Cricetulus griseus: one gene and its partner. The protein of the gene in region 1 interacts with the protein of each later gene in a pairwise test. Links are inferred from orthologs where the notes say so. Each region holds a gene or a part of one and is shown in the gene's direction. Other genes may lie near its edges. The genes, in order: Fndc11 and Gpbp1.

What was found.
Region 2: the proteins of Fndc11 (region 1) and Gpbp1 interact in binary tests that used the Homo sapiens proteins (3 or more experiments, as listed by UniProt). The link is inferred for Cricetulus griseus from reciprocal best matches to the Homo sapiens genes FNDC11 and GPBP1.

What each region holds. Positions count from the first base shown.
Region 1 is NC_048599.1:684,663-687,266, reverse strand, and holds Fndc11 (fibronectin type III domain-containing protein 11), read left to right. Parts: upstream 1-1,026; coding exon 1,027-2,028; downstream 2,029-2,604.
Region 2 is NC_048595.1:329,367,715-329,371,545, reverse strand, and holds part of Gpbp1 (vasculin), read left to right. Parts: intron 1-1,372; coding exon 1,373-1,475; intron 1,476-3,831. UniProt on the Homo sapiens protein: Functions as a GC-rich promoter-specific transactivating transcription factor.

The sequences.
Region 1 (2,604 bases):
GCTGTCCCGGGTGCCTGTTTTAGCCCTCCTGACTCTTTGGGAAAGTGAAGCCTGCTTGGATCAACCTTACTAGCAGGGACTTGTGTGGATGACCTCGAGCTAAGTCATCCAGTCTTTTAGTTCTGTTTCTCATTCATCCAACCCCAGTTCTCACAACCTGAAATCTCCAAGTGAAGCCACTGGCCTAGTGCCAGGGACAGCTGGCAGGATGTTGGTCCCTTCTCCAGGGAGCTCTGGCTGTTGGGCTGTGTGGCACATCAGTCTCTCCACAGACAGCCAGATTTGGGGACCAGGTATGGAGACAAGGAGAGGAGGGCAGACTTCAACGATTCCAACTTTGTGATAAACTGGATTCAATAGCATACACCCCTGCAGTCTCAAGAGGGTGTGATGAGAAGGCTTGAGCACAGGAGTTGGAGGGCAGCCTGGACAACAGAGTGAGATGCTATGTCAAAACCAAAAGTGACCATGGAGGAAGACCAGCCTACCAAGCTTTTACCTCAGACTCCCTATCTATCTGTGGGATGGTAGGGTGGGACCTGCTCTGTCTGTTCTTGGGCATACAAGGCCCCTCTCTGTGTGAGGATGATGTAGATTCCTGTAGTAGTGCTGAGGTATACCAGATCTCTGGAGAGTATTGGATAATCATCCATGTCCCAGGGGTCACCCTAAGCTTCTCCACAGCCCCAGGGGCACTGTCCATTATCCATGGTAGATGAGGAGCCTGAGGCTTAGGACCTGTCTCAGAGCTTCTTTACAGGCCATTCTGACCCTATAGTCCACTCTCTCAGCCCTGTTAGCTCATCACCACAAAAGACTATTGGCCCCTTGATAGAAGTTTCCTGTCCGTCATCTACTCTTGTCTAGTACCCAGCCTACTATTGTATCCCTCCAGGGGTCTCTGGTTAGAAGGCTGTGGTGCAGGGGAGAGCAAAGGACATTTGTGGGGCAGAAGGCCTCGGTGGAGGTCAGAGCCGGTGTGACTGTCATAGCTGATGCCTAGTCCTTACCCCCAGCTCCTGGACAATGAACTTCCAGGTGACAGGCCTGGCCCTGGACAGAATGAAGCTCGACAGCCCACATTCCTTCCTGGACTCAGAGGAGGTGGAGGAAGCAGACGACCAGCAGCTGCTGGAGCCGGAGGCTTGGAGGACCTATGTGGAGCGCCGCAATGTGCTGCGTGAGTTTCTGACCACAGACCTGAGCCCCCAGCTGCTCAAGCGCCACCACGCCCGCATGCAGCTGCTTAAGAAGTGTTCCTACTACATTGAAATCCTCCCTAAGCACCTGGCCCTGGGTGACCAGAACCCACTGGTGCTGCCTAACACCATGTTCCAGCTCATTGATCCCTGGAAGTTCCAGCGCATGAAGAAAGTGGGCACAGCACAGACCAAGATCCAGCTCCTGCTGCTCGGGGACCTGCTGGAGCAGCTAGACCACGGCCGAGCAGCACTGGATGCCCTGCTTGAGGCCCCCGACCCACGGCCCTTCCTGGCTGGCTGGGGGCTTGTGGAGCAGCAGTTGGCAGACCTGTCAGTTGTCATGGACAACTTCCTGGCCATGATGGTACCAGGGCACCTGCACGTCAAGCACCGCCTGGTATCTGACATTGGAGCCACCAAAATCCCACACATCCGGCTTATGCTGAGCACAAAGATGCCAGTCATGTTTGACCGGAAGGAGTCCGTGGCCCACCAAGACTGGGTCAGCCTGCGCTGGTTTGTCACCATCCAGCCAGCAGCGCCAGAGCAGTATGAGCTGCGCTTCAAGCTGCTGGAGCCGCGGACACAACAGGAGTGTGCACAGTGTGGCATAGTCCCTGTGGCCGCCTGCACCTTTGATGTGCACAACCTGTTGCCCAACCGTACCTACAAGTTCACTATCAAGAGGGCAGAAAGCTACACCCTGGTGTATGAGCCCTGGCGGGACAGCCTCACCTTGCAGACCATGCCAGGACCCCCTGGAGGGCCTGCCCCCAGTCGGCTGGGCAAGCCCAGCCTGCCCCTGACCACGCCTTCTGAGAGATGATTTTCTAATATTTATCCACTAATAAAGAGGAGTATACGCACACCAAATTAAAGACACAACCCTACTTAGGCCTTAAGGCAACAGCAACCATATAATTTTTTCCTGATGGCCCACAAGTCCCAGAACCCCTGTGCCTTCTGTCTTTTCCAGGAGAGCCCCAGACTGGACATTTCAGCACCACTGTCCAAGGGAGCAGGAAGTGCTGGCTGCTCCAATAATGAGAGCTGTTCCAAGGGAACTCAGCTCCCTCAGCCTCAGCACCTCCTATGTCCCTCACCCCCACCCCCCACATCCAGAACCAGATTTCTTTACCTGCCTCCTAGCTTGAGATCCCTGAGGAAGAGGATACTTTGGTCCTGTCTGGACACCACTGAGGGCAATCATAGCCTTGGTGTCAGCATCCCAGATGCCTTGGAGCAAGGATGCCCAGGACCAAATGATGTCTTACTTTTAAAATAAAGGTCTTACATTCTCTCCAAGTAAGCTGAAGTTCATGGACACCCCAAGTGTGTGAGGGTCCCAGACAGGAAGCCTGGCTGGGAACTTGTCTAAGACATTCAACGGTGCCACCCCTGC
Region 2 (3,831 bases), on another chromosome or scaffold:
GAGAGTTAAGAATACTTGTCCTTGTCTCCATTTTCTTTTAGTGTTGTTGATTCAACAAAAGGAATCATGATGTTTTGCCAGTTCTTACAAGTAAAAGAAAGAAAATGGTCATAGCAAAAGTAAACTTTAATTAGTCTTAGTTTATAAGCTGTGGATTCGATGATACTGAATGATTAGGCTGAGTAGAAATGCCATTTCTAAGGGCAGCCAATTATAGTTAAGACAGTGTACTGAAAAAGCAACTGAGGCAACAGTTCAGTGTGGAACATACTAATTCTGGAGGCAGAATACTAAAATTGTTTTTCTCCTTTGCTGCAAATCAAGCAAATTGTGTGTGTGTGTGTGTGTGTGTGTGTGTGTGTGTGTGTGTGTGTGTGTGTGTGTGTTTTAATTTACTTAACTTTATGTGCATTTTATGAAGGTATCAGATTCACTGGAATTTGAGTTGCTTGCAGACAGTTGTGAGCTGCCATGTGTGTGCTGGGAATTGAACCTGGGCCCTCTGGAAGAGCAGCCAGTGCTCTTAACCACTGAGCCATTTTTCTAGCCCCAAGCAAATTTTACTTAAATGATCGTAATTCTTCCTCTATAAAATATGGATAGCATGTTAGATATTTTTCAGGGCTCATGAGTACTGTTGTATTCTTTGAGACTGAAGTTATTTAATGCCTTGATGTGTAATAGATACAAGTTGAAAGATGTGCAAATAGAAGTAACACAGATATTTAAGGAGTACAGTTTTTAAAAATGTATTAAAGATAGATTTCCTTAAAAACATAGAAACTTCAGGGTTACTGCTTTATGTGCAACATGCTTGTCCAACAGATCAAAATGGTCAGTTCTCTGTCAGGCTTTTCTTGGCTCTGTTTTTCTATAAATGGGAGTTTTTTCTTTAAAAAAAATTGGAAAGAGTAAGCTGTTATTAGTCATTTTTCATTATATACAGCTCGGTTGAATTTGGAAATAGCATTTTTCTGTTATTATAGAACATAATGCCTCTTCAGATTGAATTGTATACTGAGGATAGTTTTCTACCAAGACATATTGATAGAAGAATAAGTTATATGAAAAGCAAAAGTGGCATCGTTACGACTTTTAGTACAAGGATTTGCTACTTTTTATTTTTGTCTCTTTCTCTTGCAAGTTTCCAGCATAAATAACCTTGACCCTGAAGATTAAGCAATGAAGCAGTTCATTTTTATTTACTACCAAATATGGTTTACTTGATCAATTACTCATTTGTAAGGAAAAAACTCAGAAGTCCCTTTGTATCTTGAGGACTGTGGATCATGTTTTCTTGTACATAGTATATAGGGAATAATTGCATTACCCAGGTGAAGCTCTAAATTAAATTTACATTCCTCCCTTTCAGACTATTAAAGGAGATGGGCTGGCAGGAAGACAGTGAAAATGATGAAACATGTGCTCCCTTAACTGAGGATGAAATGAGAGAATTCCAAGTTATTAGTGAACAGGTAAGGAATCTTGAGCCTTTTTGATTCACTCATAAAACAACCCTTCCATAAACACTGTGGTGGTAGGGGCAGCCTAATAATTTTATTTGTTTAGGAATTTACTAGCCATTATACCACAGGCCAGAATTCCCTTTGAGACAAGTCTGCAGTGTCTTACTGTGTATACAGTGTCTAGGTGAACGAAATACTTTTTTGTTATCCAGACATTTAATTTGGTTATTGATTTGACATGGGTGACAAGTTTTAATTAACTTTGGCTCTTGATGTTTTCCAAAAAGAGCATTTAATATTCTAAACCATCTTGTTTTAGGTCTGTATATTTTCCTTTCTAAAAGAGTACAAGGACATACTTGGTAGAGCATCAAGAAGTTATTTTTCTAAATCTATTACAGGTTTTAAAAACTAGTTCTGGTAAAAGTAAATTTTGTATTTTTGCTTGAAAACATACCACATAAAATTTATTTAACCATTTTTCCCACCCACATTCAGCTTAATGGCTTAAATGCATTCATATTGTTTAACAACCATTACCACCATCCATGGTGTGTGTGTGTTCGTGTTCCCAAACATTAACCTACTACCATTAAATGATAACTTTCTGATTCTCTAGTACTGGAAATTACTTATTCTGCTTTCTATATAAACATGGTGGTTTTCCATGCCTCATATCAATGCAATCATACACTATTTGTCTTTTTGTGATGGTCTTACTTCTGGCATCATAACTTCAAGTTTATGTATATATAGCACTTCTGGGATTAGGCTGAGTAGAATTTCATTATTTGCATCTATCATATATTGTTTATCTATTCATCTGTTTAACTTTTGGCTATTATGAATAATGCTGATTTGAAAAAATGTAGGTTTTTTGTTTGTTTTTGTTTTTTTAAATTTAAATTTCTGTGTGTGTGTGTGTGTGTGTGTGTGTGTGTGTGTGTGTGTGTGTGTGTAGAATGGCTACTGAACAAAAGTAGGGTTCAGGTGGTGATAGCGCAGCAGGTCCAGGCACTTAACACCAAACTTGACAACCTGACTTTGATCCTGAAAATCCACATGACACAGTGGAGAGGTGGCTCCACAGTTAAGATCACTGACTGTTCTTCCAGAGGACTTGGGTTCATTTCTCAGCACCCACATGGCAACTTTCTGTAACTCCAGTTCCAGGGGATCTGGCATCTTCATGCAGAAACATACAGACAAAACACCACATAAAGCAAATTTTTCACATGTTGAAAATAAATGTTTAAAAATCAAAAAGTTTTGATAGTTGAGCAAGTGTAAGAACAATACACCTGGATGACCTGACCCCGCCCCCTAACAACGGGGCACTCACCTGCCATGCATTGCAACCTGTGAGGTGCAAAACCCCAGTGCGCATATGCAACCTTTCCTTTAAAAGGTCCTGCCACCCATCCCTCGCTGTCTTCCTTTTGGCTCCTCTTGTGTTGGCTGACTACCCATCCCCATCTCCCCCCTTTTCTGGTAAATAAACTCCACGTGGGTTGTTTATCTGTTGTTCCTTTCTTTATATCAGCAGCTGCAGCTTAAACAAAAGAATAACAGCAAGTATCCTTCTTGTATGATGGAACATCATCCTAGTGTGTTCAGCATTATTCCCCACTTTATCTTCTATCAGGTTCAAGGTGATAGACGAGGAACAATTTGCATTCTTCTACATGCAGACATTCAGTTAGACCAGCACCATTTGTTGAAGATGCTTTCTTTTTCTTTTAAGAGAGTATTTCTCACACTGGTTGCTTTGACCAGCCTTAATATGGCAACTCAATATGCCATGTTTGGTTAATAACCATGGGAGCCCTGCACTTTTCTGAGCAGAAATAAAGGAGGAATGGATGGGGCTAGGAAGGAGGAGGTGAGGGGGAGGGACTGGGAGTAGAGATTGGAGGGGAAATTGATTGGGATGCTTAAAAGAATAATAGTCATTTTATAAACAAGTTTTGTGGCTCCCTTTTGTATTCCATGTAAATTTTAATACGGAATTTTCTTTTGTTTATCTTAAAGCCTTTTATATTAATGTATATTAATTGAACAAACTAATGGTTTCATTGTGAGATTTTATACATGTATATAGTGAATTTGTTCATATCTCTCACCCCCATATCTCTTTTCTTGTCTGCCCTTTTTTATTTTCTAAAAGGGTGGATTTTTTCCTCAAATTCCATTGTTATGTTAAATGGAATTGCATTGAATCTGTAAGTCATTTGGGGTAATATTAGCATCTTAGCAATATTAAATCTTTTAAACCATAAGCATGAGATAGATGTTTTTTTGGATATATATATATATATATATATATATATATATATATAATATATATAGAATTACAAACAAGATT